Linked DNA regions of Caenorhabditis elegans. The protein of the gene in region 1 purifies or fractionates together with the protein of each later gene. This does not show direct contact. Each region holds a gene or a part of one and is shown in the gene's direction. Other genes may lie near its edges.

What was found.
Region 2: the proteins of T27E9.2 (region 1) and ndua-2 fractionate together in Caenorhabditis elegans (co-fractionation; one large-scale study listed by BioGRID). This does not show direct contact.
Region 3: the proteins of T27E9.2 (region 1) and nduf-6 fractionate together in Caenorhabditis elegans (co-fractionation; one large-scale study listed by BioGRID). This does not show direct contact.
Region 4: the proteins of T27E9.2 (region 1) and F42C5.9 fractionate together in Caenorhabditis elegans (co-fractionation; one large-scale study listed by BioGRID). This does not show direct contact.

The regions. Positions count from the first base shown.
Region 1 is NC_003281.10:13,460,423-13,465,629, reverse strand, and holds T27E9.2 (Cytochrome b-c1 complex subunit 6), read left to right. Parts: upstream 1-3,045; coding exon 3,046-3,273; downstream 3,274-5,207. Other genes in the region: cdk-5 (Cyclin-dependent-like kinase 5), read left to right, coding at 1-6, 62-192, 593-673, 726-812; ant-1.1 (ADP/ATP translocase), read right to left, coding at 1,291-1,849, 1,903-2,123, 2,169-2,233, 2,342-2,399; tag-164 (Major sperm protein), read right to left, coding at 5,022-5,196; abcf-2 (ABC transporter domain-containing protein), read left to right, coding at 3,423-3,497, 3,557-3,745, 3,797-4,927.
Region 2 is NC_003279.8:14,110,640-14,115,771, forward strand, and holds ndua-2 (NADH dehydrogenase [ubiquinone] 1 alpha subcomplex subunit 2), read left to right. Parts: upstream 1-2,996; coding exon 2,997-3,169; intron 3,170-3,213; coding exon 3,214-3,280; intron 3,281-3,325; coding exon 3,326-3,364; 3' UTR 3,365-3,446; downstream 3,447-5,132. Other genes in the region: dnj-29 (J domain-containing protein), read right to left, coding at 164-272, 333-569, 1,937-2,092, 2,153-2,268, 2,329-2,452; TLC domain-containing protein fld-1, read left to right, coding at 3,568-3,630, 3,846-4,073, 4,528-4,683.
Region 3 is NC_003279.8:7,088,802-7,094,484, forward strand, and holds nduf-6 (putative NADH dehydrogenase [ubiquinone] iron-sulfur protein 6, mitochondrial), read left to right. Parts: upstream 1-1,938; 5' UTR 1,939-1,940; coding exon 1,941-2,081; intron 2,082-2,129; coding exon 2,130-2,309; intron 2,310-2,354; coding exon 2,355-2,456; 3' UTR 2,457-2,560; downstream 2,561-5,683. Other genes in the region: nars-1 (Asparagine--tRNA ligase, cytoplasmic), read right to left, coding at 1-163, 216-688, 735-1,130, 1,173-1,256; prpf-4 (Serine/threonine-protein kinase PRP4 homolog), read right to left, coding at 2,660-2,770, 2,982-3,071, 3,119-3,363, 3,414-3,965, 4,050-4,470, 4,521-4,658, 4,897-5,540, 5,584-5,683. UniProt on the Caenorhabditis elegans protein: Accessory subunit of the mitochondrial membrane respiratory chain NADH dehydrogenase (Complex I), that is believed not to be involved in catalysis. Complex I functions in the transfer of electrons from NADH to the respiratory chain.
Region 4 is NC_003282.8:7,312,458-7,320,141, reverse strand, and holds F42C5.9 (PH domain-containing protein), read left to right. Parts: upstream 1-3,038; 5' UTR 3,039-3,047; coding exon 3,048-3,242; intron 3,243-3,288; exon of another isoform or gene 3,289-3,410; intron 3,411-3,696; coding exon 3,697-3,920; intron 3,921-4,004; coding exon 4,005-4,494; intron 4,495-4,542; coding exon 4,543-4,803; intron 4,804-4,849; coding exon 4,850-5,097; intron 5,098-5,146; coding exon 5,147-5,294; intron 5,295-5,356; coding exon 5,357-5,449; 3' UTR 5,450-5,771; downstream 5,772-7,684. Other genes in the region: rps-8 (Small ribosomal subunit protein eS8), read left to right, coding at 6,283-6,393, 6,487-6,586, 6,637-6,942, 6,989-7,098.

The DNA.
Region 1 (5,207 bases):
TTGCAGGTTTTTTTTAAAAATTAAATTTGCCAATAAATTTTCCTAATTTTTACTTTTTCAGAGATCTCAAATGCCGGTCGTCCATTATTCCCCGGTGCTGATGTTGACGATCAATTGAAACGAATTTTTAAGCAATTGGGCAGCCCATCCGAAGATAATTGGCCATCAATTACACAACTTCCAGATTATAAGGTATTACATGTCGTAGTTCTTTGAATTTTTTGTATTTTCACCTCTACATATTCTTATCAAATTCTCTTAGTTCTCTAATTCCGTCTTCTTATCTTTTCCATTTTACCTGCCACGATTTTGCCGCTGTCCTGTCCTCCCGACTACTATCCGCCCGTGTCAATTGGTGAAAAACTAAAAAAGAAAAAGATAGAAAGAAGAAATGATATTGAGTACTTTGAGCTCAGCTGTTTGTTCGGGTGACGTAATTCATACAATCACGGGCGGCTGGGACAGGACAGAGAACAGAGTATTGAGTAGATTTAGAGAAGCAGAGACAACTGTTCTAGATTTAAGATTGACAATAATTAATTGAATTCCATTGCATTATAGGAACACACAAGTATAACATACCATTTTTCAGCCCTACCCAATCTACCATCCAACGCTTACATGGAGCCAAATCGTACCTAATTTGAATTCACGTGGCCGTGATCTTTTACAGGTAACTTTTTTCCAATAAAAATTATACTTACTCAAACTCGAAGTATTTGCAGAAACTTCTTGTTTGCAATCCAGCAGGAAGAATCGATGCCGATGCAGCTCTACGCCATGCGTACTTCGCAGACACTTCTGACGTCTAACTATTCACTATTGCACTTTCCTACTCACATTGTTTTCTCGCTTTCCCTGGCATTCACTTCCCCCACTGACCCCAAATGAACCTCATTGCTTGCGAAACAAAATCTCATCGTTAATAAACGGCTACGGTTTGAAATCTTTCTGTGGCACATAATTGAACGAAGGGAAAATCAACAACGTTTTATTGTTGTTCGAGTAATTTTAAAGATCAACGGCAAACACAGGTGCAATAACCGAGATTGTCAAACCGAGTCCAGATAAAGGGGCTATCCTAACGAATGTTCAATCGGGGTGTTGAGGGAAAGAATGAGAATTTGAAAAGGGGAAAACTTTAATAGAGGATTTAAAACTTTTTATGTGGCTCGCTTTATTTTTGAAAACTTAACATAGTAGCTAGGTGAACTACTTTGCTAAAACAAGCTACATAACGAGATTTTGTTGGACAATGACAAGGTAAAAATTATCAAAGTGTTATCAAATTTAAAGGAACTTCTGGATTTCGTCGTAGATGGCCAAGACGAGGGCTCCTCCGGTTCCACGGAAGACGTTGGAGAGGGCTCCCTTGAACATAGCGGACATTCCTTCGTTTTGGATGATCTTCTTTGCGCAATCGAGGGTGTTTTTGTAGAGGATATCCTTGCGTCCAGACTGCATCATCATACGACGACGAACAGTGTCCCATGGGTAGGAAAGGATTCCAGATCCGACTGTGACAACTTGAGCAATTCCCCAAGCGGCGAAGAAGTTGAGTTTCTGTCCATCAGAAGCGAAGACCATCTTGGCGGTATCGAACATTCCGAAGTATGCGGCACGGTAGATGATAATTCCTTGCACGGAGACGAAGAATCCTCTGTAGAGTCCGATTGGTCCATCGGATTTCACGATCTTGATAAGGCAGTCAGCAAGTCCCTTGAATTCACGGTCGTTGGCCTTTCCAATATCAGCAGCAAGACGGGTACGGGCAAAGTCGAGTGGGTAGACGAAGCAGAGGGAGGTGGCTCCAGCAGCTCCTCCGGAAGCCAAGTTTCCTGCGAAGAACCTGAATTTCAAATGTGAAATTTTCTAAAAACAATAATGCAATGTTTAACTTACTTCCAGAAGTCCTTCTTTTTGTCGAGTCCCTCAAGGAAGATTGCCTTGTATGTGTCCTTGAAGGCGAAGTTCATGGCCTGAGTTGGGAAGTACCGGATGACGTTAGCGAGGTTTCCTCTCCAGAGGGCAGCAACTCCTTGCTCCTTTGGGACACGGATGAGAACATCCATGATTCCCTTGTAACGCTTGTCAACGGCGATAGCCTTGGAAGCATCTTGGACCTAAAATTTTTCATATTTATAGTGGAAAAAAGTTTCATCACACACCTGGAGGAGAAGCTTGACACGCTCAATTGGGGCAACAGCGGTCTTGGAGACGGCAGCAGCGGTACCTAAAAGAAAACAAAATTAATTAAATCACAAATTTGACGAATGAAAACCCAAAATTAATAATTATAGAAATCCTCCAAATTTTTGCAATAAAAACTGAAAAAGCTTACCTCCTGAGGCGAGATCGATCAAGAACTTTTTGGTGTCGAAGGACTTTTCTTTGGACATGATTCAAGATTGAAGGACCTCGGTGGTCGGTGCTTGCCAGAAGCAATAGTGGGAAGACGGCCGCCCGTCGAAACGGGGTGCGCGCACAGCCCGTGAGGCACTTTGCAGGTCTCGCCACGCTCGCAAGTACGGTGCGTCAGGCGCGGCGATTCAAACACTAGTTTTCTCTGACCGCCCAGTTTTGGGATTTTTTGCATATTTTGAGCCTAAATATCAGTTTTGTTATCGATTTTTCGTATTTTTCTTTTCTAAACGTGTTCGTTCCTTCATTCCTGAATTTTTCACGTTTTGTTTTATTAAAAAAACGTGATTTATTTTCGAAAAATAGGTCATAACTCCAAGAAAGTAACTTAATTGCGAAAGTTTCAGTTTTTATGAAAATTATGAGCCATGTCAAAGCAAACACAATAGTGTATTAGTGATAAGCAGTACTTGAAGTGTTTTTTGTTTATTTACACTGTAGATAACTGGTTATTCGTAACCTCAATGTTCCGAAAAAAATCGATATCGCATTGTGGCTAATTTATGCCTACGGGAGTTTGGTATGACCGGTTTTTCGAATCGCTTTAAAGTAGTTTTCTTCATATTTCTCTTCTCATCGAGCCAATGACTTGTCACTATCATGGAATTTTTTTCGGGTATCAGTATGTCGAGCCACAAGGAAGAGCCACTCGAGGCTGACGTCGATCAACTTACTCAATACCGTGAGCGATGTGCCGACCATGTCACCGAATTCAAGAGTATTCTCGACGAGTGCAACGATCGTGTCAACTCTCGTTCTAACACTGAGGAGACCTGCCATCAGGAGATGGCTGACTACGTTCACCATTTGGATCACTGTGCCATGCCAAAGGCCTTCGCTTCGTTGAAATAATATTTCTTTTCCTGCTTTTTTTGAGGATTTCTCGTCTAGTTTATGTGAATTTTCGCTCTCGTATTTTTTATCCGTCGCTTTTTCCGTGTATTTGAGAGATAAATAAATAAAAATTTAGGGTACCCCATCCGCATCACTGCTGGACAACAATGCCGTCTGATGCGAAGAAAGCACGCGAGGCCGCTAAGAAGGCTGCCGCCAAAGGAGGAAAAGGAAAAAAGAAGGTGAGCAATTGATTTTTAGTTTTTTTTTGTTTAACAAATAATAATCATCTCATTTCCAGGTAGAAACACCAACCGCCATGTCATCTCAACATCCGTCCGTCAACAGTCTCTGCTGTTTAGACGAGGAGCTCGATCAGGCCGCCGCCACCTTGGCCAAAATCGAATTGGAAAACGCTGCTGCTCGTTCAGTCGCCGGATCATTGACTTCCGATCCAAAGGGTCTTGATCACAGAGTAGAAAGCCTGACGGTAAGTGGTTTTTAATTGGCGACTCCAACAAGTAACTTTGTTTTCATTCAGATTACATTCCACGGTCGTGAAATTGTCGTTGACACGAAACTCGAACTCAACCGTGGACGTCGTTACGGACTCATCGGATTGAACGGATCTGGAAAGTCTACCATCATTCAGGCAATCTACAACAAGGAAATGCCAATCCCAGAGTCCGTGGATATGTACCTCGTATCCCGTGAAATGCCTGCTTCAGAGAAAACTGCTCTTCAAGCGGTCGTTGATGTCGATTCAGTCAGAAAAGAGTTGGAACATCTTGCCGAGCAGCTTGCTAGTCAGACTGATGAGGAAAGTCAGGACAAGCTGATGGATGTTTACGAAAGGCTGGATGAAATGGATGCATCTCTCGCTGAAAAGAAGGCTGCCGAAATTTTGCACGGACTTGGATTCACAAAAACTATGCAAATGAAAAAATGTAAAGATTTTTCTGGAGGATGGAGAATGCGCATTGCTCTCGCTCGTGCACTTTTCCTGAAACCGTCAGTCTTACTTCTCGACGAACCGACCAATCATTTGGATTTGGAAGCTTGTGTGTGGCTTGAGGAGGAACTCGCTCAGTATAAAAGAACCTTGTTGGTGGTTTCTCACTCTCAAGATTTCATGAACGGAGTTTGCACCAACATCATTCATTTGTTCCAAAAGCAATTGGTTTACTATGGAGGAAACTACGACCAGTTTGTGAAGACACGTCTTGAATTGCTCGAAAATCAACAAAAACGATACAACTGGGAACAGTCTCAACTTCAACACATGAAAGATTACGTCGCGAGGTTCGGTCACGGTTCTGCCAAACTCGCTCGTCAAGCTCAATCCAAAGAAAAAACTATGGCTAAGATGATTGCCGGAGGCCTCGCTGAAAAGGCTGTCACTGAAACCGTGAAACAGTTTTACTTCTTTGATGCTGGGGAGATTCCACCACCAGTTATCATGGTTCAGCATGTTTCATTCCGATACAACGAGAATACTCCATGGATCTATAAGGATATTGACTTTGGAATTGATTTGGATACCAGAATCGCTTTGGTCGGACCTAACGGAGCTGGAAAATCGACACTGTTGAAGCTTCTCTGTACTGATGTGATGCCAACTGACGGATTGATCAGAAGACATTCGCATTGTAAGATTGGACGTTATCACCAGGTTGGGAATTTTTATGAAAAAAATCTGCTGTCCAAACAAAATTAGAAAATCCAAAAATTTAGTGAAAAACATTTCATTCAATTCGAAAGTTACACTATTTCTGAAGCAAAAGCAAGACAATGACCAAGACCAGGGCGATAATAATCCATCTCAAATTGTCAACTTCCTCCTCGGCATGCTCATCTTGCTTCACAGTTTTCATCGCTGGTGTTTGCTCAGTCGGTGTCATAGCCTGTGTAACAGCAGTGTTTGGACTGGTTGTTGAAGCTCTGAAATTGAT
Region 2 (5,132 bases), on another chromosome or scaffold:
GGAAAATCGTCGAAAACTTTCAAAATTCCATTATTGTATGGAAAATTGCCTAAAAATCAATTTTCAGGATGAAAAATTGCCAAAAATCCGACTTTCTGGGTGAAAAATCGCCAAAAAAGCAATTTTCTGGCTGAAAATTTGTGGAAAAATCGATTTTCCTCACTTCCAATCTCCATTCTCGGTGTCCGATTGATGAAATAATAGTACATTCGTGTGGTGTCCAGAAGAACCTTGTCAGCGCTGTATTTGATCGAGCTATACCACCACATTCCCTGAAAAATCGATTTTTCGCGAAAATTTCCAATTTCCGCCATTTCCAGCGCCAAACTCACAACAGAAACGGGCAAAATGATCATAAAAATGAGCCCATAGAAAGCGAGCACCCAGAGTCCGTATTCTTTGCTCACAAGCCATTTGGGCAGAGCAATTCCGAAAGTTGTGGCAGTTGGGCCGTCTGGATTTCCGTATTTTTCCCAGTTTTCGCGAGCTTCTTTATCGGTGAGAGCCTGGTGAGCCTTGGCGATTTTATCGAAGAATTGAGCGTCTCCTCCACGATCCGGATGGTGAATCTGCAAAAAATTGGGTAAAAATTCCAGATTTTTGAGCATTTTTGTGGGGAAAAAACTGAAATTTCAGAAATTTTAAGGCGAAAACAGGGCAAAAATCATGTTTTCCCGAGAAAAACTGTCTGAAATTCAATAAAAGTGCCCGAAAATTCAGTTTTTGGGTGAAAATTGCAATAAAATTTGGGAAACAGTGGGCTTTTCCAGTAAAAATAGCCAAATTTTCAGTTTTTTGGCGAAAAATTATGATTTTTATGGTACTTTCCACAAAAAATTCCTTATTTTACGGCGATTTCGCACAAAAATTTGTTGAGGCTCACACTACAAACTACAAAAACTATCAGCCTCACCAAAAATTACTGAAATTTCAGAAATTTTAAGGCGAAAACAGGACAAAATTCATGTTTTCTCGAGAAAAACTGTCGGAAATTCAATAAAAGTGCCCGAAAATTTAGTTTTTGGGTGAAAAAATGCAATAAAATTTGGGAAACAGTGGGCTTTTCCAGTAAAAATAGCCAAATTTTCAGTTTTCTGGGCGAAAAATTATGATTTTTATGGTATTTTCCACAAAAAAATTCCCTATTTTACAGAGATTTCGCACAAAAATTGGTTGAGGTTCACGCTACAAACTACAAAAAGTGATTAGCCTCAACCAAAAATGCATGATTATTGGTTGAGGCTCACACTACAAACTACAAAAATCTCCAGCCTCACCAAAAATTAATGCAAATTTTTAGCCTAAAATTCCTGGAAACTGCAATTTTGGAGGCAAAAAAAGTCAAAAAAATCGATTTTCAAGCCGAAAAAGGTCGAAAATAAGCTTTTTTTTCGAGAAAATATCTAATGGAGTGAAATTTCAAGATTTTGAGGCTTTTCTGTGGGAAAAAATAAATTTTCAACAATTTTAGCGAAAAAATTGGTTTTCAGCGGAAAAAAAAACCAAAAATATAGATCTTGACGCAAAACCGACCGAAAATTGCAAAAAATTTAGTTTTAGAGTAAAAATTGCAATAAATTATGAAAAAATTGGGTTTCTCCAGTAAAAATAGCCTAAATATTAGATTTATTGGCGAGAAAGTGTTTGAAAATCAGGTTTTTGCAAAAATATTTCGATTTTCGAGGCATTTTCCACGAAAAAATCCATATTTTACGGAGATTTCGCACAAAAATTGGTTGAGGCTAACACTACAAACTACAAAATTCGCGAGCCTCAACCAAAAATTAAAACAATTTTTTCATCTAAAATACTTGGAAACTGCATTTTTCGAGGTAAAAAACAGTAAAAAGTTCGATTTTCTTCGATTTTCAAGCTGAAAAATGTCGAAAATAGGGGTTTCTCAGTAAAAAATCGCCGAAATTCCAATTTCCAGCACCTTTGACATATCTCTCCAGGCCTTTTTGATGGCCTTCTCGTCGGCGCCCTGATCCAGACCCAAAATCTGATACGGGTCATAGTCCTTGTGAGTTTGCTCGATTTCAGTCGTTTTTTTCACAATTATCGCGAAAATTGCCCACGCTACAACGAGAACCTGCAATTTTTTGGGATTTTTAGTGGATTTTTTCCGGATTTTTCAGTTTTAAAGCCTTACAACGATGGTAATAATCTTTTTAGTCCGTCGCCACGGCTTATTCGCCGCTTTTTGTCGTCTTTTCTTGTCACAACCGTCGCATTGGCACTCGTGTTCGTTGATCACGTGTTCTGGTTCTAAAAATACGAAAAAATACGAAAAAATTATGAATTTTAAGCCAAAAAATCGATTTTTACCTGGTTTCGAGGCTCCTGGAAGGCATAGGTAGGTCGCCGGGAACAGAATAATCGCGTAGAATGCCACGAGCACATAGTAAAATGTGTTGCCGACTTCGTCGTACTCAAACGACGCGCGGCCCATTTTTTAGCGATTAATTACTGTAAAAATAGTGATTTTTTGAGTTTATCAAGTGGTTTTTCGTTTGAAAATATCGAAAATAACGTTGAAAAACTGAAAAAATGTGCGATGACGTGACACTTCGATTTGCAGTGTCTTCCGCAAAACTGTGCGGCGGTGTTGCAAAATTGCGTGCGCCACTTGCAAAAAGGGGCGGAGTCATTGGTTTTTGATGATTTTAATGGGTTTTTCGTGATTTTTAACTCAAAAAATTGAGAAAAAACTTGTTTTAGCACTAAAATTTGATAGATTTAGCAAAATTTAGGCAAATTTCCTAAAATATCAGCAATTTTCAAAGACTTTGCTCAAAAAACATGAAAACAGCAAAACTGTGCGTAGGAGTTGCAAAATACCGCGCGCCGCGCTTGCCAAAGTGGGCGGGATCACGGGTTATTTATTTTTATAATAAATTTCGAAAAAAATAATCGGTTTTTGTTGGTTTTATTGGATTTTTCTGCATTTTTTAAAGTTTTTTTTTGATTTTAAAGCTTAAAATATCGATTTTCAGATGTCTGTCCGTCTTGCCGGCACCGCTCTTCGCGAGATTCGCATCCACGTCTGCCAGAAAAGTCCAGCATCGGCGGGAGTCCGCGCGTTCATCGAAAACGACTATGTTGGAATCAAAAAAGCCAATCCACAGTTCCCAATTCTGATTCGTGAGGCGTCTGGCATCGTGCCAAGGTGGGAAATTATCGATTTTTGGGTGAAATTGCGGTTTTTTGCAGAGTTTTCGCCAGATACGAGCACGGAGTTGAGCGAGTCGCCACTTTGGAGGATTTGTCGAGAGAAAATGTAGGATTTTTGGTGGAATTTAATGCCGAAAATCGATATTTTCAGGTCAAATCTACTATTACTCAATTGGCGTCCCAGAAATAACCTGGCGAAGAGTTTAGAGTCGAAAAAAAATTCTAATTTTTTAATTTTTCCTGTAGAAATTCATTGAATAAATCGTTTTTATAGCTTTTTTAAGCGAATTTTTTTGAATTTTCCGGGTATTTTCACCCAAAAACCTACTGTTTTACCTATTTTTCCGTAATATTTCCAATTTTTATCAGTTTTTTTTCAGACAGTTCTGGAAAATGCGGCAGCTGGCGGAGCTGTTGACGGATCTTCTTGGCCCAGTGCCAACAATGTTTTTATGGGTAAGAAATTCGAAATTTCAAATAATTTCAAATAAAACTCAAAAAAAAATTAATTTTTTAAATAATTTTTCGTGAAAAATTAATTATTATTTATTTCTAATTTTCCAATGAAATCAACAACGATTTCTTCGATTATTTTTGTGAGTTTTCACTCAAAAAATGCCAAAAACCCCCGATTTTCTGCGAATTTAGGCCCAAAAATCCATTTTCTCCAGGTAATCGTCTCATTTGCCTTCTTCCGAGCCCTGCAATTCATCGTTCGTTGGTACTTATTTGGCAAATGGACGTGGCCGAACTTTAACTTTTTCGACATCCGAAACCGCATTCGGAGGAGACGGAGAGGCGGTCAAGAAGCTGAAAATACTGAAAATCCGCCTGAAAATGAGGCAGAAGCCGGCGAGCAGGTCGAACAGGAGCCCGAGCCCGACAGCAGAGATCTGTCGGTGAGAATTCAGAAATTTACTGCAAAAAAAATCCAAAAACTAGGAAGTTTGAGCTAAAAAAGCAGTTTTTTTTTTCGAAATTTGAGCATTTTTTGTTGAAAAATATCGATTTTACAGCATTTTAAGCAGTTTTTCATCAAAAAAAAAGTTGGTTGAGGCTACACAAATTTGTAGTTTTTAGTCTTAGCCTCAACCAATCAGCTTTTGCTTCAAAACGCCGAAAATTGTTGAAATTTCTATCAAAATCGCTTATTTCTAGAGTTTCTACTACAAGTTTCAATAAAAACTTTACAAAAACGTTGAAATTCTTTCCCAAAACTCCTGAAAAGTGCTCAAAACTTGGTTGAGGCTACACAAACTTGTAGTTTGTAGTCTGAGCCTCAACCAAATCAGCAAATCAGCCAGAAAATATAAATTTTTCCGAATTTTTACCTAAAAACTCCACATTTTCCAGGCTATCCCACCGAATAAGAAATGGCGAATCTCCAACGAATGTGTCTCACTATTCCACTCGGTTATATCAGGATTATGGGCCGCCTACGCACTTTTATACTATAAACAGCTCGTTCAGGACCTCGTTAATTATCGATGTGACGTTGCAATCAATTTGGTTAGATTTTAGCGAGAAAATTCGGAAAAAATGACTAAAAAACTCGAATTTCGAATAAAAAAAACCAAAAAAATTGGTTGAGGCTACACAAACTTGTAGTTTGTAGTCTATAGCCTCACTCAATGAAATCAATCAATTTTCCCCACAAATAATGCAATTTAGTGCTAAAAATTGGCAATTTTTCAACTTTTCTCAACCAATTTGTGAGTTCTGTCCATATTTTGAGGAAAAAAAATCAAAAAATGTCGATTTTGTAACAAAAAAGCACGGAAAACGTTGGTTGAGGCTGAACCGAATTTGTAGTTTGTAGTCCCATCGCTTCAACCATCATTGAGTCACGAAGAGACTACAAAATACAAAAGTTGAACGTTTTTGCTCAAAATGTTGCGATTTTCATCGAATTTTGTTCGTTTTTCTGCAATTTTCGCCGATTTTTTTGTGAGAAATTG
Region 3 (5,683 bases), on another chromosome or scaffold:
CTCGATCAACGATTTGGTGACTGGATCTGCAAGAAGCCGATCAACAGTATCACAAACAAGAGCCTCAATGCGATCCATAAGTTGATCGAAAGTGATAAAAGCGCATTCAGCCTCAACGTGTTGATACTCTGACAGATGGCGACGAGTTCTCGATTTTTCGGCTCTGAAATTTATTTTTGAATACTAGTGTTCTAAAAAAATGTCAAAAAACCTACCTGTACGACTGTGAAATACAATAAACATCACCAAGAGCAGCATTGCAAGTCTCCAAATAAAGTTGAGAAGATTGTGTCAAGTATGCAGGCTCTCCATAATAATCAAGCCCAAAGAGAGTGGAACCACCCTCAACTTGTGTTTGCACCAAAGTTGGAGGAGCAACTTCAGTATATCCAGCAGCAAAGAAATGATCTCTCATTGCACGAGTAGCTGCAGCGCGAATACGAAGAATTCTTGATGCATTCTCTCCACGGATGACAAGGTGGCGGTTATCAAGCATCACATCGACTCCAGCGCTTTCGTTGAGAACGTTGTCAATTCCTCCAGCTGGTGCTTTGCCAATAACCTCCCAATAGTCAACGGTAAGCTCGTGACCATCAGGAGCGGATTTTCCATCGGGAAGTGCCTTGATAATTCCATAAACTTGAACAGAAGTCTCTGTTGAGAGAGTAACAGCATCATAACTTTGACACTGGAAAACGAAACGATTATAGTTGATCTTTGAAACTATTTCATACCAACTTATCGTTCAAAACACATTGAAGGAATCCATAACCGTCTCTAAGAACAAGGAACATGAGTGACTTTCCTTGACGACGAAGACGATGTACCCAGGCTTTGATTGAGACTCGTTGATCGCGATGCTGCACAGATTCTCCAATCTTGATAACCTTAGCTTCTGGAAGAGACTTGTCAAGAGAAAATGTAATCTTCTTGGCTTCTTCGAGAGCAGCATGTTGAGCCTCTTCGGCTTCTTTCTCCCTACAACCAGCTTTCTCCAGCTTTTTCACTTCAGCTTCGTATTTTTTCACTGCCTTTTTGATAGCAGCTTTCGCTGCTGGTTCCCACGATTCCCCTTCCTCTGACTTTTTCTTCATCAAGAACTCGCCCGAGTTTTTCGAAATAAGCATAGCCTGAAAAGTTTGTTTTTAGCAACTATATTTTTGTGTGCTAACCTGAACCAAAGTAGCCAATGGCTGAGCTTCTGTTCCGGGATGCTGATCAGATCCAGCATCGGTATCGATGTAAAGCTTGGACATGTCGACTGTAAATTAAGATATTTATGAAACAGTATACGGAGTTCCTAAAAGTTATTTTAAAATGTAGCAGAACTGAGCACAGAAAGTTACATTTAACGAAACAGAGATGAATAAATGTTTACTCATTCATTTTGAAAGACACACTAATCTGTACATTATAAAAAAGTAAAGAATTGGGAAAATCTGACGAAAATTCCAACAAAAGTGAGATTGTGCAATCGCACGAAACTGTCGTCAAGTTCAGTGTTTGCGTACTCCCCTGTCTTAACTCTTACTTTAAATTTATGCCTCCCTAGCTGAAAATCAAATCAATTTTAGACAATCTTAGAATAAACATGTATCCTATTTAAAATTTGACGGGTCAAATTAATTTATTCGTTCACAAATCACTCAGAAAACGATGTGGAAGATTCATTACGGTGCACAATGGTAATTCGTGTTTTTGACGCAAGCATTTCATTTGACGCCAAGTTGCGGGCGTTGAGAAACATCTTTTTAATTGACGTCAAATTTGTTTGAAAACAGATGATTAACAACAATTTGTCTAGTTTAAGTATAAAACAATGTTTGTTCATGTTTTATAAAGAAGGAAATTGTTACGGTTTTTACAATTATTTCTTCGTTGCTCTTTTATATTGAATTCAAAGTTGTATCGATTAATCATAATCACTGTTTGGTTTAGTAATGAACCGGCTTCTTCAACAGTCGGTTTCACGCGGACCTCTTGCCGTCCGAGCTTCTTCTACAATTACAACAAAGCCACCAACTCCGAATCAAATTACCAAAAACAATGCACAATTCGACAAGGTGACTCACACCGGACAAGTAAGTGTTTCTTATATAACTTTTCAAATAAAATAAGCACATTTTCAGGCGTGGGATCAATCTGATTATCGTCTTCAAAGATTTGATATTTCGAAGAAAAGCGTCAATCCAAATGTAGCAATGCATCTTATTGATCAACGCCCTCCAGAGGATTGCGGGGATAAGAGAGTTGTCTTCTGTGATGGAGGACATCCAGCTCTTGGACATCCGAAAGTATACATCAACCTTGTTAGTTTTTTTTTAACTTTTAATGTCACACTTTAATTTTTTCAGGACAAACCAGGAGTTCATGCTTGCGGATATTGTGGAAACCGATTCTATAACTCGCACGCCACGAAGGCAGAGGACATGAAGATCCAACACCTCAACTGCTAATTTGTCTAGCCTCTTGGTTTTATTTTTTAGTATGTATACAAAACAAGTAGCGAATTTACAATCATTTTCATTTAAAATTTCCATAATGAATCGAAAGATAACAAAAAATTTGCTGTCGAGGAATATGTATTTAAATATAGCATACATACAATCGAAATAGGAGAAGAGAAATTAGAGATCACCGAAAAAATTTGGGAAATGTATTATTTGATAGGTATGGTGAAGAATGGGTGTTTGAGAGCCTCATTGCAGGTTGTTCGTTTGCTTGGATCAAGAATCAGCATTCCATCGAGCAAAGTTCGGAACGCTTGTATCTGTGAAAATAAAAATGTAGTCATTATCCAATCAGCCATATCGAGAAAATTAACCGAAGATGAGCACCGCTAATGACATTTTATTTTCGCTCTTATAAAATCTCCATTCCAGAAAATTAACAAAGTGGAGAGGAACATAGAGCGGGGGTGAACCAGGGACATTTGGGTGGTCGACAATAGTCTAACCAGCTGCACTATAAGGTACACTAACCTGATCCATTTGGTCTCTGCTCAAACGTTGCCCGGCAATCAATTCTGATTCCAAATCGCGTGTCGGTTTCAAATTTGCAAGAACAGTAATCTGAAAACATAAAAATGTAAATACTTTGAGTTTTCAAATATACAAACCTTGTTTCTTTCTGTAACTTTGTCAACTTCTTGATACAAAAGATTACAGTTTACATCAAAGTGAGTATCTTTGAATTGCGATTTTCGAACCAATTTGTTGGGATATTTTCCTTTGACATCAGTGAACAATTTCAACATATGATTATTGGTTCGTCCTGGGAACATGATTTTTCCAGTGTAAACTTCATAGAGAGTAACTGCAACGGACCAGAGGTCAATTGCATAGTCATGACGGACTCCGAGCACTGAAAATTGTATTTTATTTCTGGGAACAAAATTTTAATTTAAAACTCACTAATTTCTGGTGCACGATAAAATCTAGAGACCAAGTATGGGGCCAATTCTTGTTCATTGACGCGACCAGCAGAACCAAAATCACAAAGTTTTAATGTTAGCTTCGACTCATTTACAAGAATATTATCAGGTTTAATATCAGCATGAACGAATTCCAACTTTTTGAGAAGACGCAGAGCCAGAAGTAGTTGTTGAGCATAACTTCGAACTGCCTTTAAATGTAATCCATCCTTCTGTCCGTATTTTTTCAAAAGTTCTCGTAGATTCATGCTCAAATTTTCAAAGACTAGACACAAGTGATTGTGATGCTTGAAAGTTCTGAACAGTCGAAGACAATGATATTTATCCTCCTTGTCAGCTTCATTCAATTTTCGAAGAACTTCAAGTTCACGGAGTCCTGTTTTGTACATAACTTCGTTGTTTCTGATAATCTTGACAGCAACAGTGTTTCCTTTTGTCTGATCATTGCATCGGCATACATTACCAAAAACACCAGCACCAGTGAAACCAACAACACGATAACGTGTGTCTAGGAGCTCTCCAATTCTTACGCCTGAAAATCAGAAAATTAAATATTTACTTTGGAAGATATAACAAGTAGACAAACTTCCTATATAAAATCAAAATTACAACTCACGATAGTATCCTTCTACATCATCCCAATTATCTTTCAAAGTGTCGTGTACTGCTCCACTATGCCCATCAATTGTTGTACTGTCTTGTGGAAGTTCCTCATTATCAGCGAACATATCGAATCCCGTATCATCTTCCTCTTGCTTTTTCTTTTTAGCTGCTTCGGCGGCGGCTTCTGCTTCCAATTTCTTTTTCTTCTCCTCTTCCTCCCGCTTTTCTTGCTCTTTCAATTGAGTATGCCAGTCTTCTCTGTATTCTTCATCTTTTCCTCTTTGAAGTACTTCGTCTACATTATGTTCATCTGCATCTTTCATGTGAACCATTTTATCTCGAAGACCAGAGAAGAAATCAGTTGGAGTGTCATTATCCGATTGAATACTTACTGGAGTCGATGCTCCACTCCCTTGCTCGCTTCCGAATCGGGTCTGAAATTTTCAAAATTATTGTCTAACCGATTTTTTTCTATTTATCTTACAGATTTTATCAGATCTTTTGCTTCAGCCAGTTTGCGATCGTCTTCATCATCTTCCGAATCGGAGCTACTGTCTTCTGATTCGTCAGTCTTTTTGTCTCCGATTGTATCACTTCTTGGAGTACTGCTATCACGCGGAGTCTGTAAAAACATAAAATATCTGTAAACAATTTATCTTTTAGAAAGATAGACTAATTTTTGATCGATACGTTCAAAAATGGGCTCGATTGGATTTGAATATGGTTCTTGCATTCAATCCGAACATATAAAGGTATTAAGGTGTCCGATAAAGCTTTTAAATATAACAAAAATCAAAATTGAGGTATTGAGATACATTGTGAATAGAACTAAAATTTTCAGAAATTGAAGAATAACTCACATTTTCTTCAGTATGCCCTTCAATCTTCTTTATAATTTGAATTCGTCGCTTTCTTGCCGCTTCAATTTTCTTCTGTTCATCATCAGAATCAGAATCCAAATTCCACTCAACATCCTTTGACTCATCTTTTCTCTTCCCATCCTCTCTTTTTCTATCCGAGTCACGTCTTCTATCAGGACTTCTTCTATGACGATCCTCTCTTCTTCCATCTCTGTCACGACGATCTCTGTTGTTTCTGAATCTTTCTGGTGTTCTATCTCTACGACGATTTCCTTCATGAGCACGCGGATCTCTTCTGTTATCTTCTCTTTTTCTCTGAATCAATCTTCGTTCTTTACTAAGTGATCGATCTCTTCGTTCAGCATCTCGTCTTTCTCGCAATTCACGATCCCTACGTTCAGCACTTTTTGAGCGTTCCCTTCTAGGAGGATTTCTGAGTTCATCTTCATTGTTTCGAGATGATTCTTTTGCTTCTTTCTTTTTAGATTCGTCTTTTTTAGTATCGACTTCTTCTAAAGTTCTCTTTTTTGCTGGAGGACCATCATTTTCCATTTCAACTTCTTTTTCGCGTTTATGTTTTTTCTCCTTCTTATGCTTCTTATCCTTTTTGTGTTTTTTCTCTTTCTTATGCTTCTTCTTTTTATCTGTAAATAAAACTAATTATTTGAAACAATTTAATATTCTCACCTTTTCCAGATCTTTCCGAATCAGTCCTTTGTCTCTTCTCAACCTCGGAATCCGATGCCTTCTCATCTGAAGACGTTCCAACATCGGATTTCACTTCCCC
Region 4 (7,684 bases), on another chromosome or scaffold:
CTCTCCGTCGGTCTGCCTGAAAATGAGAGGATGCGGGGGGCTTCTCTGTTCCTCTAACTTCCTGCGTTTCTTCATTTGTTGTCTATCTCTCATTTTTGGGTCGCTTCATTCTCTCTTAGTTCCTCTGTGAGGGAGGCTTGATGAATTGAGTGCATTCTCTCTTTCTCTCATTACGAAAAGGGCATTATCCTTTCGAGCTTCATCTTATTGTCTTTTTCCTTAAAAAATTACCTAAGTGGCCCTTTAACTTCTAGATAGACCTTGGATTTAGACTCTATCGTTTACATCCTCTATTTCAATTAAGCAAAATCCATTTTGCATTCCATATATCATATTATTTCTCACAGAAATAAGCTCTTACTCGAGCAAGTTCCCCAATATAATCCGCCTTATTCCCACCAGCAACCGGATAAACCTTTGAGTTCTGATATTTGATTAAAGGCTTTATCCTACTCGACGAAATGGGTTTTTGCATAAATATCCCAGTTTAACTCGGATATAACCTTGATATTTTTATAGAAACCAAGTGTCATAGAAATTTGCCAAGTGACTTTTTTTGTTCATTTGAACTTCCACTTATTTAAATAATTTTTCTTGAGAGGTCAAGTTCTCTGAACGTTATTCCTCTTCCAAAAACTCATTCAACCTAACAAAAATTGCAACAAAAAATTCTTTTGCCACAAAAAACGACATTCTATTTCATTCTTTCCGCTCTTTCGCATTTTTCATTTCGTGCTCCACCAGAAATTTCAAGGGTCCCATTCTCCTATAAATGGTAAATATTTTTGTGTTTTTCTTTGCTGTCATTTTTGTTCGTTGATTTCCAAATTCCCAAAGGAATAAAAAACTCTTCCGCAGAAGAAAAAAAAACATTCCCTCGTTTTCTTTTCTGATTTCATCTATAAATGATGAAGCTTTGAAACTGGAAAAAAGGCTGAAGGAGTCAAGGAAAGTGAGTGGAAGATAAACAAACAAAAAAGAATGCCAGAACTTTTTTTGCAGACAAAAAAATGGAGGAAAAGATTTATTTGGTGACTGATTTATGGGCTAGGCGGCGCCCCTCTCTTGGTCTTGAGGGATTTGCACGAGAATAATGACAAAAAAAACGAAAAGTTCGGGTGTGAAGGAGGTCTGCCAATAAAGGGCATTTAGGGGAAAAGAGCGTGATTTAGAATGCAAATAATTTTAGTGGAGGGGTTTAGATATTCATAAAGTTAATTTCACTTAATATATGCTCAATAAGTTGCCAAAGTTCTGTCAAGAACGTTTCATAATTTGGATTGCGTTGCTATTATGATAGATATTTTCGGTAAATTAAGCAGAAAATCGAAGAACCAAATAACAAAGCTTATGTTTTTTTTAAACTCAATATTTGTATGCCTGTCAGATTCTTCAAAGGTTCCATTTCAAAACCTATCTCACTTTATTTGATTGATGAGCCTTTCACTAGCTATTATAGAATTAAAATAGTATAGGCAAGCAATTGCTTCTAATTTACAAATTACAAATTACATTTGCCAATTAAACTGTATCATTTCACCTACTAAATCTCAATTTCTCCATTATTCTGAAAACTTTGAGAGACTCTTTAGAAAACACGTCTAGAATTCTTTGAACCTCTGAAATCCAAAGACAAACGACAAGCTTAAAGAAAACAAGAGGAAACACAAAAAATTTTTGTTTTTTCTTATTCTCTGGTTTTCCTTCCCATTTGTTCTGTCACTTTCTCGAGAAATCGTTTCCACATGGCAATTAGGCCGTCACATTGAACCTCTCCAAACTATTATTTTTCTCTTCCTCTCTACGTCTCTTCAATCACATTCATCTCTTATTGAAATTTCTGGGTCTGATCTCCAATCGGTTTCTCTTTCTCTCTATATTTCATAGATATCTGTTTCCGAAAAGACACGCATCGGATTTCCGTAGATTCACACGATATTCATAGGTGAATATTGGAATTTATGAATGGGAATTTGGCTTTCTATTGAAATATTTTCCTAGATCTTAGACAGATAGTAGCCCATTTCCTCTTATTGGGTCTTTACCAAAAAAAATGCTCCAAAAAAAAAGAAAGAAATTGTTTACTCGTTGCTCCCCTATTTGCACATAATCTTATTACGGAACAAAGACGGAAGAAGGCGAAAAAGAAATCATTATTTTCCCTTTTTGGGTCTTTTTTAGGAGTTAGGGCAGAATATTGCTACTTGTTTTTGTTTAATTATTTTTTTATTAAATTTGAAGTCAAATGTTATTGTCTTATTTTATTATACTTTCTTATTTAAAAGTTTCAAAATTTAACGTAATTTTTCTGATAAAATATTTATTTTAAGTGGTAACTTTTTATTGAAAACTTCTCTTCAAAGTTAACTTTGAACCCCAGCCTCGGGTCTTGGTGGAAGCCAAACTTTTCAACTACAGTACCCGTAAGTATTACAAAATTAGTATTCGTCCAAATAGAAAAGTTTATGATTATACTGTCGTGATTTTGAAAATTTTCACCACAACTTACTACAAAATTGTCAAACACCTATTTTAAAATTTTTCGAAAAATCCTCACAGGTACGGTAGCTGAAAACTTTCGCTCCAAGGGTTATTTTGTTTCTCCAAATTTTCTTCAAAAATCCATGTGACTTCCCGTTCAAATTTCCATTTTCACCCTCTCCTCAAATTGCGTTCCGTTGTTGTCTCCAAACATACCAAACCAACACAAAAAACCAACGACGACAAGTTTCAACAAAAAATGCAACCGGAAACTCTGCTCTCTCTCCCTAAATTTCTCAACTTCTTATTTCAAAAGAACGCCCTTTTTTACTAGTACGATTCAGTGGTTTTTTATTCGGATTTCGAAAACTGATACTTTCTTTCCGATTTTTCGTATTTTCTCCTTTTCCCGCCCTCTCCATTTTCCAATGTTTTATAGCCAGGCAAACATGTTTTATTGAATTTTCCCTATGCATGCTATTTTTTCTATTTGCTTTGATTGTATGTAGCTTCAAGTTGAAATATTATTTTTTCTACCAACTTCTCGTTTTTTCCAGCATATTTCAATGCCAGATTTGGAAATCAACGGAGTTGAAATGGAAAATGGTGTTGGAAGATCAGACAGTTTGAAAGCTGAAGAAGCAAATGCTCTGCGAGAATGGGATCCTAAGCATTTACTAAAAGCCCTCTACGAAATATCATATGAACCACGAGTTGAAACAAAAAGAAATCGATTTGTGACAATGGAAGGACATGTAGAGGTAAGCATTCGTAAATAAAGAAATTACCTTTGCTGTAGTTTATTTTGACCCGCTTTCTCAAGGAGTCTCCAAAAATTGTATGTAATACTCAGTAAATGCTCCTTTGCACGGAAATCTTTAGTAAAAGGCGAAAGATTTTCACGGTTAAATGCAGAGGAACCAGAGTTGATTGTGCACCTCTAAATTGGAACGTGATGAACTCCGTGTACGGACATCTGGCGGGTTTCGCTCACCACGTTGGGGAACGTAGTGGGCGGAGTTTTTGCTTGGAAATTTTCAGGCCTAGAAAAAACAAAAACAGTGATCACATTCCAGAAACCAAAACTCCTACGTCCAAAAGCTATTCAAAAAATATAAAATAGTTTCTATTCATAATAAAAAATAACAATTTTAATTATAATCTCAACTGATTGAGAAATTGGAAAAAACTATATTTTGAGCTATTTCATTCCAGGTCCCAGCCGACGAGGTCACAAAATCAGACGGTCTAGATAATGAAGGATGGATGAAGCAGTACATTCGAATGAAAGAAGGACGTCTTCAAATCTTTGCATCTCACTACGCAGGAGAAGCTCCAGCTCAAGAACTTGTGCTCTCTGGAGCAGATGTAGATGCCAATAAGGATGAGAGAACTTTGACTATTCATGGAGGAAGGGAACATGTTAAATACTATTGCAGGTTGGTAAATTTATGCTTAAAAGTTTCACATTTTATAAAAACCTAATTGTTTTTAATTTTTCCAATAATTTATTAAAATTTCAGAGTTCCATCAGCAGTATTCGACAAATGGCGTCAATCATTCCTATCACACTGTGCATCTTCTCTAATTGATGCCTATGTTAAACCAATTCCAAGAGCATTCCAACATTTAACTGAAAGAATTTTGATTCTTGAACTTGGTTCATGCTCAATCAGAGCCGGTGTTCTTACAACAGAACCATCACTTCCACAATCATTCTTCCCAGCCATAGCCGTCCGAACTGATGATGGAAAGATTTTCGTTGGAGAAGACGCTTATAGGCCGGAAATTAGACATAATGGTGATTTTGTTCGACCAATCTCTGCTACAGATCCATCAGTGGAAAGATATTCAATTGATAAAGATGTTCTGAAAGCAGTTATTGGAAAAGTAACAAAGGAATTGAAAGTTGAGCCATGGAAATATAAAGTTTTACTTTCAATCCCTCAAAATATCCCAACTGTTTTGATTGGAGAATTACTCCAGATTTGTCTTGAAGATATCAAATTTCAAGTGAGTTATCGCTGAGAAAACTTTTTTGTCTAAAAAATAAACTTTCAGTCGGCAGGAATCACTCGTCAGCCATCACTGATTCTGTATGCTTATGATGTTACAACTGGAGTTGTTGTCGATATTGGAGAAAGAGTTAATATTGTTCCAGTAATTGATGGATATGTCGTCGAATCGGCCATTTGTTCAATTCCATATGGATCACAGCAAATGGGAGATTCGTTAAGAGCATCATTAAGTGCTCATAACAAAGGATTATACGCTTTTCAAAGTCCTGTGGAGAAGCTTATTTTAAGATTTGCACTGGAACAGGTAAAATTTAATCGTATTAATTTTCAAAAAAATACTTGAAGTTTAGACTACCTACGTACCAGAGGATTATCAAAAAGAAGAAAAATCAGAAAATAAAGAAACTAGAATCTCATTAGATGCTTTCACACCATCACCTGGAATGCAGACCCGATTCGATATTGATAACTCCAGATTTTTATGTACGGAAGGACTATTCAAGCCAAAGAAATGGGGTCTTGACACGAAAGGTCTCCACCAATTGATCCACGAGGCAATTCTTCAGTGTCCAATTGATAGTCGTCGAACACTGTATAGGTAAGAATCGTTAGTTTTCTAAAATTTATGACCAAAATTATGCTTTCAGAAATATTTATTTGGCTGGAGGAGCATCTCTTATGCCAGGAATTGCTGAAAAACTCGAACAAGAATTATCTACAGTAGTTCCAAACACAATTCACACTCAAGTTAACATCAGTCCATGGCGGTATAACGCAGCATATCTTGGAGCCCAAGTAAGCCCACCAACTAAAAAAAAACCAACTAATAGAACAACGGTAAAATTTTAAAATTTCAGATCGTCGCATCAGCCTCCACATTTGAAGACTCCTGCATTTCTCTTCAACAGCTTCCAAAGTTCCTTGCACAGCTCCAGTCATCGTCTTTCTGAAGCTTCGACCTGAAAAATAATGATTTCGTTAATTTCTTATGATTTCACTGACCAACCTGAAAATTCCGCTTTAGAGGCTCATTTTCCTGCTTTTTCGAGAGTTTTCTTTAGACCTTCGTGTACTATTCGCTTTTGTACAATTATTTTCCTTTTGTTTTATCGATTTTATTTGTCCGAGAGCTCTTTTTTACATATTTTTGTGATACTGTTGTCGTAATGTTTTCCCCGCAGTTACTTTCGTTAAAAGTTATGTCAGACAGTTGAGTCGGCTAGCAATTTTAGCTAGACAAATTTATTGCATCATAAACATTTATTTATAAAGTTTTTTTGTTTTTTTTTCAAATCAATTGAAGAATTCTACACAAAAACAGATATGATTGGAATTTTATTTTTTTACAGCGAAATATTGACTAAGTAATTTGATAATTTCAACAAAAAATGCAGATAATTTTTGTCGAATTTCTATAAATCTTTAATGTAACAAAAAGAGCACGAAAATCATGTGAAATAAAACACTTTTTTAAAGGGACATGGCATTTCACGAGTGAAGGGTCTCGCCGCGATCTCTCATCTGCAGCAGCCGCCGCTCTCTGTTTACCACTGTGAATTTTTAGGCCCGATTTTCTTTTTCTATTTTTTCTTCAATGTTTCTGCTTTTTGTTAAATTTTCTCGAAAAAATCACTGAAAAATAGAAGAAAATCAATGTTTTAATCACTTTATTGTGTTTTGAAAAATTTAATGTTCGAATATTTTTGTTTCGAGAAGGAAACTCTTTCATTTATCGTATTATGTATTTTTAATTCATTTTTGTTAAATGTGAAACGTTTTCAGCATGGGTATCTCGCGCGACTCTTGGCATAAGCGCTACAAGACCGGAGCCACTCAACCGGTCCCTCACAAGAAGAGGAAGTTCGAGCTCGGACGTCCAGCTGCCAACACCAAGGTAAGAGCTGTTTAATTTTTATTTTATTTACCAGGGATTTGGTTGAATCAGTAAAATTAAATTTAAAAAAGATGATCGCGAAATTACTCTCAGATTGGAGCCCACCGCGTTCGTCTCGTTCGCACTCGTGGAGGAAACGAAAAGTACAGAGCTCTTCGCCTCGACTCCGGAAACTTCTCCTGGGCCTCTGAGCGTAAGTTTCGTTATTATACTTTATAAACCGTTCATATTCTGATTTTTCAGAGACTACTCGCAAGACCCGTATCGTTGATACCATGTACAACGCTACAAACAACGAGTTGGTCCGTACCAAGACTCTTGTCAAAGGAGCCATCATCAGCGTTGATGCTGCTCCATTCCGTCAGTGGTATGAGGCTCACTATGCTCTCCCACTTGCCAGAAAGAAGAACGCCAAGCTTTCCGAGGAAGACAACGCCATCCTCAACAAGAAGAGATCCCACCACACCATGAAAAAGTACACCGAGCGTCAAAAGACTGCTGCTGTTGATGCACTCCTCATCGAGCAATTCAACACTGGACGTCTTCTCGGTAAGAAAATTCAGAAATTTCTTCAAGTTTAATCATTATTTTTCAGCTCGCATCTCTTCTTCCCCAGGACAAGTCGGACAAGCCAACGGATACATCCTCGAAGGAAAGGAACTTGATTTCTACCTTCGCAAGATTCGTGCCAAGAAGGCCAAGTAAATGCCTTTTGTGGTTGTTTTCTTGTTTTTGTTACATAAAACATAAACGAATTGTTACTAGAAATTTGTTAATAGCACATTTGGAATAAGGTTACAACTGCAGGGATTTTATGCATTATTGTTGGGCGAAGGATATACAATGGTGATTCTATTATTAAAGATGTTCCTGACAGACAGCCCATGGGTCTAAAGGAATTTCAGTTCGGTCTGCAAAGGATTGCTTTTTAATAGAGATGTTCTCGGGAAGGCTGAAGTAGTAGTGATCAGAGATGGGCTGGCCAGTATGACATGAACATTTTTAATACATCGAGAAGAGTTTCGTTCTGGATTAGTATGAGCTCATAATGCACAGTTTCAGAAGCGCCTTAAGTTATAGGTACAAAAGCAGTTTGAAAAGTTCGTGGTGTTTTAAAGTCTTGTTAATTCGAATCTGGCAATGTCGAGAAGGAAACTAAACGTGGATGCCAAAATATGATTTTTAAAAGTAAAAAGCTTTTCTCATTTATATTCCGACTCATTCTGACTTCGTTGAAATAATGGAGGAAATAAAAGCAGATCAGGATAGACGTGGAAAAATGAGATTAAGA